Callithrix jacchus: one gene and its partner. The protein of the gene in region 1 interacts with the protein of each later gene in a biochemical or structural test. Links are inferred from orthologs where the notes say so. Each region holds a gene or a part of one and is shown on either strand. Other genes may lie near its edges.

What was found. The genes of interacting proteins can lie anywhere in the genome.
Region 2: the proteins of WWP2 (region 1) and DVL2 form a complex in vitro, tested with the Homo sapiens proteins (2 studies listed by BioGRID, with this or other methods). The link is inferred for Callithrix jacchus from reciprocal best matches to the Homo sapiens genes WWP2 and DVL2.

Annotation. Positions count from the first base shown.
Region 1 is NC_133521.1:27,511,502-27,517,757, reverse strand, and holds part of WWP2 (NEDD4-like E3 ubiquitin-protein ligase WWP2), read right to left. Parts: intron 5,802-6,256; coding exon 5,720-5,801; intron 5,135-5,719; coding exon 5,006-5,134; intron 3,496-5,005; coding exon 3,420-3,495; intron 3,140-3,419; coding exon 3,068-3,139; intron 2,839-3,067; coding exon 2,750-2,838; intron 697-2,749; coding exon 537-696; intron 1-536. UniProt on the Homo sapiens protein: E3 ubiquitin-protein ligase which accepts ubiquitin from an E2 ubiquitin-conjugating enzyme in the form of a thioester and then directly transfers the ubiquitin to targeted substrates.
Region 2 is NC_133506.1:73,719,427-73,725,682, reverse strand, and holds part of DVL2 (segment polarity protein dishevelled homolog DVL-2), read left to right. Parts: intron 1-2,870; coding exon 2,871-2,940; intron 2,941-3,517; exon of another isoform or gene 3,518-3,550; coding exon 3,551-3,696; intron 3,697-3,826; coding exon 3,827-3,936; intron 3,937-4,038; coding exon 4,039-4,174; intron 4,175-4,298; coding exon 4,299-4,389; intron 4,390-4,533; coding exon 4,534-4,603; intron 4,604-4,699; coding exon 4,700-4,839; intron 4,840-4,928; coding exon 4,929-5,005; intron 5,006-6,210; coding exon 6,211-6,256.

The DNA of each region.
Region 1 (6,256 bases):
AAAGCTCTGGTTTCTCCAGAGCTCTCGCTAGCTTTTTGCATTTTATTTTTAAAAGACAGAGTCTCGCTATGTTGCCCAGGCTGGAGTGCAGTGGCTATTCACAGGCACGATCCCACTACTGATCAGCATGGGAGTTTTGACCTGCTCCATTTCTGACCTGGGCCAGTTCACCCCTCCTCAGGCAACCTGGTGGTCCCCCGCTCCCGGGAGGTCATCATATTCATGCCGAACTTAGTGTGGACGCCCAATCAGCATAGGGCACTACAGCCCAGAATCCTGGGCTCAAGCGATCCTCCCACCTCAGCCTCCCGAGTAGCTGGGACTGCAGGCACGTGCCACGGCGCCTGGAGCTTTTTGCATTTTTACTTTACGAGTTCTATGGGGGTGAAGGGTGGGGATCAGAGAGGGCACACCAGTCCACAGGGGCTGCTATTCATGCCACGTTGCCTCCTGGTGAACAGGCCCAGGGCCTCCTCCAATGCTGCCCCTTCCTGGAGGTCTCAGAGGAAGAGGAGATTCCCCTGTGGCCCCCTTACCATGGCGATGAATCTGCCGATAAAGCGGAAGTAGGTGAGGTGGTCCGGGTTGATGGAGGAGGCGGGGTTGATCTGCAGGCAGTAATTGTTCTTCCCCGCGTATTCAAATAAACAATACATAGGGTTGAGCACCTCGTGAGACAGGAGGAAAAACCACTCTCTGTGAGGGAAGAGAAAGAAAAGACAAGAATAACGGGTCCCTTAGTGCACATCTGCACAGGAGCTGTGACTCTCCTCCATTGTGTCTCAGGTAGTCTGCGGACACGTGTTCCAAGGAGTCCAGTCCCGTGACAAGTGCCCGGGCTAACCTATATGAAAAGCTGATCAGTGAACAGGGCAGGCTGAGACCTAGAGTGAACCAGGGTGGGGTGGCAAGTGCATTTGAGGATGAGGTTCAGGAAAACGTGTGCCTGTTGGCTCCCAAGTGATGTGTTCCTGTTCCTAGACTTTACATCACAACATCCAGAGCGTCTAATGCTAAAGGGGGTCCTTGTACCCTGGGTCACCATGCTCAGCTGCATAGGCTGTGTACTGCACAAGGACACGATGCATGTTTATTACAATGATCTTTCTGCAAAGGTTCTGTTTGAATAGCAACGACCCTGCTTCCACTCTACCTGGACGGGCAACATAACATAAATACACAGCACCACATTCCCAATCCTGATCCATGAAAATGTCATCCGTACTGTCTTCCGATTAGAAACCTCACCCCCACCAACTATGCCACAGGCATCTCACTTCTCTTACACTTTGCCCTCCCTTCACCTCCAGACCCCCCACACCATACCCGTGCCCACACTTCCACGCATTCATCTGAACCAACACCCAGTCCCTGGTTTCGAGCCTCAAGCATGAATTCAGAGTCCTTTTGGGCTTGAGCTAAACCAGCCAGGGGACGTCCCAAGGGGGCCAGTCCCCGGCGGCTGGGCTGTTTGTGGCTGGGCAGACGAGGAGTCCTTCGATGCAGAGGGTGTCCCGGTATCCTGTCCGTGGTTCTACCCTGTGGTAGAACAGCATGACGTAACCTACCATAGGGTAAAACCACTGGCAGGACACAGAGAGAGACACACACAGGGCGCGGCCACACCAGAAGCCCACCAAGCAGAGCCTGGAGAGGAGGTCACCACGGAAAAAAGGAACAATCCATCCACGGGGCCAGCACAGAAGGCAACGCCACCACTGAGCAGAGGACCAGGAGCAAGTTAACCCAACACCAAGCGAGAAGACATGGCCACACAAGGAGAGGTCACAAGCGGAAAGGTCACTGCAGGCCAAGGCGCTCCCTCTCTGCCAGGGCCCTTCTGCCCTGTTGTCCAAGGCAGCACTTCCCAGAAGGCTGTTAACTTTTGTGGGTGGACCAGGGTGAAGGCAAGACAATGCTTTGGTCTCTTTTTTTTTCTTTTTTCCCAGGGCAGTCTCGCTCTGTTGCCCAGGCTGGAGTGCAATGGCGCCATCTTGGCTCACTGCAACCTCTACCTCCCAGGTTCAAGGGATTCTCCTGCCTCAGCCTTCCAAGTAGCTGGGATTACAGGCATCCGCCACCATGCCCAGCTGATTTTTGTATTTGTAGTAGAGATGGGGTTTTACCATGTTGGCCAGGCTGGTCTCAAACTACTGACCTCGTGATCCGCTCACCTTGATCTCCCAAAGTGCTGGGACTACAGGCGTGAGCCACTGCACCCAGCTGCTGTGGACTCTTTTTAGGGTGACATAAGCCATTCTTTACTGACCCCAGGCACATGCCATGCAGCAGAGCCCTGCTCAAGGCTCTGTGGATCATGACACAGGGACACCTGACTTCACCTGCCCTGGCTGCCTCAAGAGGAGGGGAGCAAGGTCAACTCTAATGGATGACCACATGGCCCCGGTATTCAGCCACTGCCCAGAAGCTGCTGGAACATGGCACACTGGTAGATAACAGGGCCACTGTACTGAGCTCTCACCCCTCCCAGGAGTCCTCTGTCTCCTCATGATCCAGTAACTAAAGGCTTAACGCCCAGTCCAGCAGGGTACCCCAGACCCCTGCTCCAGGCCCATCGGGACTGGCCACATGGATTCACGGAGTTTGAGTGCCACAATGTGCCCACTCCTGAAGACGCAGGAGAGCTTTGGGAGGGAATGTCAGCATGAGGCAGGCAGCTTTCCAGCCATGAACACCGTAGCCTAGGGAAACGGGGTATGGGGCAGCCTTCTGGGGCGCTCCAGCTCACCTGGCGATGCCTCCATAGTCCAGGCCCTCCTCCCCACGCATGATGATGTAGAGCCGGCGGCGCAGGTCATAGGGTTTCATGTTCATGATCTGGGAAAACAGAGCATGGGGCCGGCCTGCCACTCTCCCTTCCACGGCAGGCAGGGGCAGGAGGGACAGGGAACTCTAAAGCCTACTCTCCAGCAGACACAGTCATCAAGACCCGTGCCCTGGAAAGTCTACAGTGTGGGTTTAATGGGCCAGGCAATAGGAGACAGGGTGCTGGGAGGAGGGCACCGGCCTGCCCCTGAGGGTGTTGGCACCATGATCATTCTCTAACCTGTTGGAAGGAATCCTCGAAAAGCGTCTGCCTGGAAACGCTGATCTTCACATGGCTGGGTAGGGCATTTGACTGAAAAGAAAAGAAAATCACTTCAAATGGAGCCTCAAGTGATCATATCTGTTCTCTTGTCTGTATGAACAGGCATCCCCCAGCCTTCTGAAGCAGGAGGGGAGAGCGTGTCCCTTAGGAATGAAAACTGGCTTCCCAGAGACAGCCAATTTGGAGTTAGACAGCTGTCTTACCCCCACCTAAGACACAAACGTTACGATACCTGCAGCTGTGCCAGGAACTCAGACTGAAATAACTCAATAACCCCAACTGCCACAGGAGCCCCAGTCCCAGAACTCACATGGCAGAGGAAACGGAACTGGTGATACTTCCACCGAAAACTTCGGTCATAAGCACCAGGGGAACCTTGCTTCGTCCTGGGAAGAGCAAAGGCGTTCAGGGGTTCATGCAATTTCTCAGAAAATGAACAACTTGTCTTGGTCAGCCCTAAGGAAAGCTGGTGCTATGTTAATTTAAAGATGAGTAATGTAAGGTGAGGAAGTGACTGTCATTAAGATCCTTAAAGAATAAAAAAGAATATCTAGAAATAAAGCCAGACCTCTTGCTTTTAGAGAAACAACACTGTTGTTACTCTGTATAAACAGGATAGTCCCTTCCTCCCCATCCCATCTTATTTGTTTGTTTATTTATTTTCTAGAGACAGGGTCTCACTTGGTCACCCAGGCTGCAGTGCAGCGGTGTGATCACGGCTCACTGCAGGCTCAAATTCCTGATCTTAAGCAATCCTCTGCCTCAGCCTTCCAAGTAGCTAGGACTACAGGAGTGCTCCCATACTGAGCCAATTTTAATTTTATCATGATTTTTTAATTTTTTTGGAGACCGAGTCTCACTCTGTCGCCAGGAGGGACTGTAATGGCACGATCTCGGCTCACTGCAACCTCCACCTCCCAGGTTCAAGCGATTCTCCTGCTTCAGCCTCCTGTGTAGCTGGGACTGCAGGCATGTGCCAGCACACACAGCTAATTTGTGTATTTTTAGTAGAGACAAGTTTCACCATGTTGGCCAAGACTGTCTCAATCTCTTGACCTCGTAATCTGCCTACCTTGGACTCCCAAAGTGTTGGGATTACAGGTGTGAGCCATTGCGCCCAGCCAATTTATTATTTTTTAGAAATAGGGTCGGCTGGGCGCAGTGGCTCAAGCCCGTAATCCCAGCACTTTGGGAGGCCGAGGCAGGTGGATCACGAGGTCAAGAGATCAAGACCACCATCCTGGTCAAAATGGTGAAACCCTGTCTCTACTAAAGATACAAAAAATTAGCTGGGCATGGTGGTGTGTGCCTGTAATCCCAGCTACTTGGGAGGCTGAGGCAGGAGAATTGCCTGAACCCAGGAGGTGGAGGTTGCAGTGAGCCGAGATCGCGCCATTGCACTCCAGCCTGGGTAAAAAGAGCAAAACTCCGTCTCAAAAAAAAAAAGAAAGAAATAGGGTCTCACTCTGTCACCTGAGCTGGAGTGCAGTGGTACCATCATAGCTCATTGTCGCCTCAAATTCCTTAGCTGGAAACCCTCCTGCCTCAGCCTCCCAGGTATCTGGGACTACAGGCGTGCACCACCATATCCAGCTAATTTTTAATTTTTTTTTGTAGAGATGGGGTCTGGCCATCTTGCTCAGCCTGGTTAATCCTTTTTATTCTTGTAAAGGCAGGAATGTTGTCCAGGCTGGTCTCCCAACTCCCAGGCTCAAGCTATCCTCCCATCCCCTTTAACAGGACATCAACATTGGCCACTAGAGGGCAGTAAGGGCAACAGAATGCACCACAGGGGACACCCAAAGTGGGCCTCCCGGAGGAGCCGGAGCCGGAGCCAGAGCAAAGATAGCCCAGGGCTCTGTTTCTGGACACTGCTGCTACCTGCAAAGTCCTTACCCCGACTCAAACCCTGGGCGAGGATCCTTAAAGGTGGTGGTGCGGGTATTGTGGTCCACAAAGTATCGCACGCCCTCGCTGGTGTATTTCATCTCCCATCCTGGGGGCAGAGCTGGTTCCTGGATCATCCTGGAAACATGGGAAGAAAGGGGTAGAGGGCTGGCCCCACCTTCTGGGCCTTGGTGGTTGGAGGCTGGGTCCTCAAAGTGTGGCTTTGTCTCTGCAGAGCCCATGAGGGGCCTTGAGGACATGCATGACCCAAGTTGTGAGGACAGTTCTGCAGCACAGAGAGGTCATTTATTATCCCATGGCCAAAACCCAGCCCTGCAGGGACAGCATCGGACTGAATGGTCACCAGCAATCCTGAAATACCTCGTGTCCCAGCCCTGCTTCACTTGGGGTGTTGGGAGACCAGGGTACCCTCAACCATTTTCCAATCCAATTATCAGCAGCTTGTACAATCAGTACAGAGACCAGCAACACCTGCCAGCCGGCCCCCTCCATCCACCAGGAAGGTCTATTTAAGAAACCACTTCTAAGCTCTCATGAGGCCAACAGCGTATCTGTACCATGAGAGTCTCAAGACACTTGTGTGTGGTTAAAGGCCCCCGACATCAGCCCTCTGGGACAATGCAGTCCAAAGCCACCTACCCAATGCTGGAGCTGCACAGAGACCCAGCCCGGCCCAGCCCCTCTCCCAGCCCATGTCCTCACCCCTGGGTCCTGGGGTCCTCCCACTGGGTCGTGCGAGTGTTATGGTTCACGTAATACACCCGTCCATTGTCCTGTCTCTTCTCTGCCACATGAGAAGAAAGAGAGAACCATTAGATTTGAAGACTGCGAGCCGCTGTCCTTTCCCTGCGGCTCCCACCTCCTGGGTGCTGGGTCTGAGTTTCTCTCCCTGTTGCCAGCCTGTTAAAGAAGTTGAACCAGCCAAAGCCGCGCTCACTCACACTTGTCACTGGGAAAGGGACACAGAGGGTCCTTCCTTGTTGGGGGATGGAGAAGGGTGACACATTTCCAAGTCGAGAGGAAGGACTTCTTTGCTTGGTTGGTTTACTGGAGGGGCGGGAGGTGGTGTGGCCACCCGGAGGGAGCAGCACAGCTCAAACCAGAGGCATAATTGCTTCCAGCTGTGTGCAGCACAGAAGCCGGGCAGTCCCCACCAAGCCAGGTCCCCCACCCAAGTCCCTCATGGCAGATCCCTGGTCCTAGGACCCTCTGCACTGCATGTAGCTGACCCAGGTACCT
Region 2 (6,256 bases), on another chromosome or scaffold:
AAATGCTTAGATCAGGTGTGTGGCAAACGGTAAATTCTTGGTGAATGGTAATCGTCATTATTAGTACTGAGGCTGACTATAAAGTAGGTTATGGTGATACGGAATAACTTGTCTTAGAGTGGACTGAGCTATGCTGAGATTATGTTATATTGGGAAGAATCCTGCATTATGCTGAAACAGATTGGTAGTGACTGGGCTGTGTTGGCACATTGACAGCAAGTGGATTAAGTTGGCATATATCCTGGCTCCCATAACCATATTAGGCCAAAGGGTTAATCAGACAAGGTGTCTTAATTTGGGGGCAAGGGTGTGTGTGGAAAGAGAGGAACAACTAGGGCAGAGTCTGATGATTTATATGTTGATTCATTTAGCCAACGGTATTTGTTAATGCTGAAGTGACACTTTGTGCTGTGTGGCTAGGACATGGTGTTGACCAGAATGAGTGTTCATGATGTGATGTTGTGGTCAAGAAGAAGCATTAAGTCTAGTCCACTGGGTGAACCTATTGGAGAGATGACCGCAAGGCTGGGCCTTGGGATCTGTCAGGCTGAGCAGATTGCTTCGTGCAGAATTTTGTGACAGATGAGGCACTGGGGAATGGGAAGCTTAGCTTGCCCTCTCCTTGGGAACTTTCAATCTAATCAGGAGCTTCCATTGCTTGATCTAATGGGTTTTTTTGTGATGGAGTTTCGCTCCGTCTCGCAGGCTTGAGTGCAGTAGAGTGATCTCAGCTCACTGCAACCCCTGCCTCCCAGCTTCCAGCAATTCTTCTGCCTCAGCCTCTCAAGTATCTGTGATTACAGGTGTGCGTCAGCATACCCAGCTAATTTTTGTATTTATATATATATATTTTTTTGAGATGGAGTTTTGCTGTTGTTACCCAGACTGGAGTGCAATGGCACGATCTCGGCTCACCGCAACCTCCGCCCTCTGGGTTGAAGCAATTCTCCTGCCTCAGCCTCCCGAGTAGCTGGGACTGCAGGCACGTACCACCATGCCCAGTTAATTTTTGTATTTTTAGTAGAGATGGGATTTCAGCTTGTTGACCAGGATGGTCTCAATCTCTTGACCTCGTGATTCACCTGCCTCGGCCTCCCAAAGTGCTGGGATTATAGGCATGAGCCACCGAACCCGGCCTTCTTTTTTTTTTAAAGATGGGGTTTCACCATGTTGGCCAGGCTGGTCTCGAACTCCTGCCCTCAAGTGATCCTGCCTTGGCCTCCCAGAGTGCTGGGATTACAGGCAAGCCACTGTGCCCTGCATTTTTGTATTTTTAGTGGAGAAAGGGTTTCGGCATGTTGGCCAGGCTGGTCTTGAACTCCTGACCTCAGGTAATTTGCCCACCTTGGCCCCCCAAAGTGCTGGGATTATAGGCGTGAGCCATAACACCTGGCCTCTAATGGGTGTTTTTACCCGACAAAGGTCAGTCCTCTAGAAGTAAATTAGAAAAAACTAAAGGAGGGCCGGGCGCGGTGGCTCATGCCTGTAATCCCAGCACTTTGGGAGGCTGAGGCTGGGGGATCACCTGCGGTTCGGAGTTCGAGACCAGCCTGACCAATATGGTGAAACCTTGTCTCTTACAAAAAGAAAAAAAAGAAAGAAAAAAACTAAAGGAAAGTATAAGAGGAGAGACTTAGATGAGGACTGAAGACTTTTTTTTTTGAGATGGAGTCTCGCTCTTTTGCCTAGGTTGGAGTGTAGTGGCACAGTCTTGGCTCACTGTAGCCTCTGCCTCCTGGGTTCCCAGTAGCTGGGATTACAGGCACATGCCACCACACCTGGTTAATTTTTGTATTTTTAGTAGAGATGAGGTTTCACCGTGTTAGTCAGGATGGTCTTTATCTTCAGACCTTCACGATCCTCCTGCCTCGGTCTCCCAAAGTGTTGGGATTACAGGTGTGAGCCACCATGCCCAGCCAGGTTTTTTTTTTTTTTTCCCTGAGACAGTTTCACTCTTGTTGCCCAGGCTGGAGTGCAATGGTGTGATCTTGGCTCACTGCAGCTTCTGCCTCCCAGGTTCAAGTGATTCTCCTGCCTTAGGCTCCTGAGTAGCCGAGGCAGGTTTGTGCTACCATGCCCAATTAATTTTTATATTTTCAGTAAAGACAGGGTTTCGCTGTGTTGGCCAGGCTGATCTCAAACTTCTGACCTCGTGATCTGCCTGCATCAGCCTCCCAAAGTGCTGGGATTACAGGTGTGAGCCACTGCACCCAGCTTGGGTTTTTTTTTGAAATGGAGTCTCAGCTGCCCAGGCTGTAGTGCAGTGGTGTGATCTTAGCTCACTGCAGCCACCATCTACTGGGTTCAAGCGATTTTCCCATCTCAGCCTTCCAAGTAGCTGGGATTATAGGCCCCTGACATCGTACCCATCTAATTTTTGTATTTTAGTAGAGATGGGGTTTCCCCATGTTGGCCAGGGTGGTCTTGAACTCCTGACCTCAGATGATCCACCAGCCTCAGCCTCCCAAAGAACTGGGATTACAGGCGTGAGCCACCTTGCCTGGCCTTGTTGGAAGGTTTGTAAGGAACAGGATGGGCTTAAGAGGAGGCTACTAGGTAGGCTTCTGAGTTGGATAGATGTCTTAGGCAGCTGTATCAGCATGGGGGATTGCCTTTGAAAGTGGATTGAGAGGTTTGAATCAGCACTGTGGAGCAGCACTGTGCCCCTGAGGGAGAGGATAAATAAGGAAAGGAGATTGAGTTTGGAGATTTCTTAGGTATCATAGTGAGTTATTTCCATGTAAGAGAAGACGAACAGGGAAGGAGAAAGTCAGTATCCTGCAGCCAGGTGAAGATTGGAAGAAACTTTGAGTGGGGGTGGGGGTGGGGATGGCTGGTCCAGGTTACCAACCTCTACACTCTCTTGGCAGGGTGGTGAAGGAAGAAATTTCAGATGACAACGCCCGCCTCCCCTGCTTCAACGGAAGGGTTGTATCCTGGGTAAGAGTTTGTGACACCTAGGGCCAGGTCCCCTCAGCATTGCCAGGCTCTTCCAAGCCTCAGTCTGTTTCTGTAGCCCTCCCCCAGGCCAGGTGTTAGTGGCCCTGCCTCTTTTTTTTTTTTTTTTTGAGATGGAGTCTTGCTAGATTGCCCAGGCTGGAGTACAGTAGTGCAGTCTCAGCTCACTGCAACCTCCGCCTCCTGAGTTCAAGCAGTTCTCTGCCTCAGCCTCCTGATAGCTGGGATTACAACCATCTACCACCACCAGGCCCAGCTAATTTTTTGTATTTTTAGTAGAGACGGGGTTTCACTATTTTGGTCAGGCTGGTCTTCAACTCCTGACCTTGTGACCCACCCACCTCAGTCTCCCAAAGTGCTGGGATTATAGGCGAGAGCCATGGCACCCGGCTGGCCCTGGTTCTTTACCTCCTGTCTGTTTGAAGAGCCAGCGAGAGGCCCTCAGCTTTCTCCTTTTGGAGTCTTTAATAATTGCTATGTTTTTTTTGCTCTTCTTCAGCTCTCTGAAACCCTTTCTAATTATTTGACTTACTGCCGTCTGTTCCACCCCCACTCCCAGGTGAGCCACTGTTTATCGTTTGCACCCTTCTAGCTGGTGTCTTCAGATAATCCCCAGCCCGAGATGGCTCCTCCAGCCCATGAGCCTCGGACAGAACTGGCGCCTCCAGCCCCACCTCTACCACCTTTGCCACCTGAGAGGACCAGTGGCATTGGGGACTCGAGGCCTCCATCCTTCCAGTGAGTCCTTAGGATCCTTGACTGCAGGGGAGGGAGATGAGGAGGGAATCCAGGCCTTTTTGTAGGGGGTGCCTGGGATCCGGAGACCTGATCTCCTGATGTGGGTTGGAAACCATCTCTGCCTGTCCAGCCCTAATGTGTCCAGCAGCCACGAGAATCTGGAGCCTGAGACAGAAACCGAGTCAGTAGTGTCACTGAGGCGGGAGCGGCCTCGAAGGAGAGACAGCAGTGAGCATGGCGGTGAGGGGCAGGCCTGGGGACAGGGAAGGGCTGGGCCAGACCCCAGGCTTAGTGAGGTGAGCAGGGGGAAGCTTGGATCCTCAGCTTCCTATCCATATGCAGCGGGGGGCCACAGGACCAGTGGCCCCTCAAGGCTGGAGCGACACCTGGCTGGATATGAGAGCTCCTCTACCCTCATGACCAGCGAGCTGGAGAGTACTAGCCTGGGGGACTCGGATGAGGAGGATACCATGAGCAGGTGTGGCTCTGCAGCTCTCCCCAGTGCACCCAGCCCTGGCTTTCCTCCTCTGATCAGTCCTCTTGTTCTTTCTCTTGGCCCCATGACCACTTTGGCTTATGTTTGCTCTCCTCCCGCCTGACAGGTTCAGCAGCTCCACGGAGCAGAGCAGTGCCTCCCGCCTCCTGAAGCGCCACCGGCGGCGGAGGAAACAGCGGCCACCTCGCCTGGAGAGGGTGAGGGGGTTCCCACGGGAATACCGGTGCGGGGAGAAGGTGGGGCATGGGCCTTGGTTTGGATGGTGCCAGGACACCAGCAGAGCCCTAGGGTGTAGACTGGGTTATTGAAGAGCACTCTAGCTCCTCCTTTTCCCACCACAGACCTCATCCTTCAGCAGTGTCACGGATTCCACAATGTCTCTGAATATCATCACAGTCACGCTGAACATGGGTATGGGGAAAGCCTGTGGCGAGGGCGTGGGGAGGGCCTGGTCTCTCTGGGGCTTGCGACTGGGGCCTCCTCCCCTCACACGGTCTCTCTCCACAGAGAAGTACAACTTCCTGGGCATCTCCATTGTGGGCCAAAGCAATGAGCGGGGAGATGGAGGCATCTACATTGGTTCCATCATGAAGGGTGGGGCCGTGGCAGCCGATGGGCGCATTGAGCCAGGGGACATGCTTTTGCAGGTGTGTTGGGGCAGGGCCATTGAGCTGCCCTGTGTGGGGGCCCTCATACTCTCCCAGCCGGCTTCTGACCCCCTTCCCCTCGCTTCCAGGTGAATGACATGAACTTTGAGAACATGAGCAATGATGACGCCGTGCGGGTGCTGAGGGACATTGTGCACAAGCCTGGGTGAGTTGCTGAGCAGGCTGCAGGTCGTCAGTCTTTTTTTTTTCCCCCTTTAACTTTTTGTTTTGCAATTTTAATAAGTGGTAAGACAATCAGGCCCAATAGCTCACCCCTGTAATCTCAGTACTTTGGGAGGCTGAGGTGGGTGGATCACCTGAGGTCGGGAGTTTAAGACCAGCCTGGCCAACATGGTGAAACCCCAACTCCACTAAAAACAGAAAAATGGCCAGGTGCAGTGGCTCGCACCTGTAATCCCAGTACTTTGGAAGGACAAAGCGGGCGGATCACCTGAGGTCAGGAGTTCGAGACCAACCTGACCAACATAGAGAAACCCTCTCTCTTCTAAAAAATATAAAATTAGTTGGGTGTGGTTGCATATGCCTGTAATCCCAGCTACTCGGGAGGCTGAAGCAGGAGAATCGCTTGAACCTGGGAGGTGGAGGTTGCGGTGAGCCAAGATTGTATCATTGTACTCCAGCCTGGGCAACAGAAGTGAAAACTCCATTTAAAAAAAAAAATATTAGCTGGGTATAGTGGTGCTCCCCTGTAGTCCCAGCTAGTGGGGAGTGAGAAAGGAGAATTGCTTGAACTCTGGGGCAGGGGCAGAGGTTGCCGTGAACTGCCATGCCACTGTACTTTAGCATGGGCAACAGAGCAAGACTCTGAAGAAAAAAAAGGGGGAGTAAGACATAACACTCAAAGTACATGAAACAAATTCGTGATGTAGCAAATAATACTAGAGCGAATACTCATGTCGCCACCACCTAGACCATCAAATAGAGATTGCTGACACCCTAGATCCCCCTCCACAGACCCCCCTTCCTGCTCCCCAATGCCTCACCCCCCAGGGCTAGTCACTCTGCTGACTTCCCGGGTCATCACCACAACAAAGAAAAGCTTTACCTCCCTCCATAGTTACCACCCTTGCATGTATCCTTGAACAGCGCGGTTTTACCTGTCTTTGGACTTTCTTTGAATGGAATTGTACAGCGTGTACTCTCGTCTCACTTGGCAGTATGTTTTTAAGAGTTTCCATGTTGATGAGTCATTCACATTGTGGTGCCTTCCACCCTCACCTTCCCTAGCCCAGCTGAGACATGCTGGCTTCTCCCCATCTTTGTGTCTCTTAATTCATCCTTGCTTCAGCGCCCCCCCACCCCAGGCCTCTTCTTCCCCTGAGCCCTTGACTGGTCTTCTCTTCCCCATAGCCCCATCGTGCTGACTGTGGCCAAGTGCTGGGATCCCTCTCCTCAG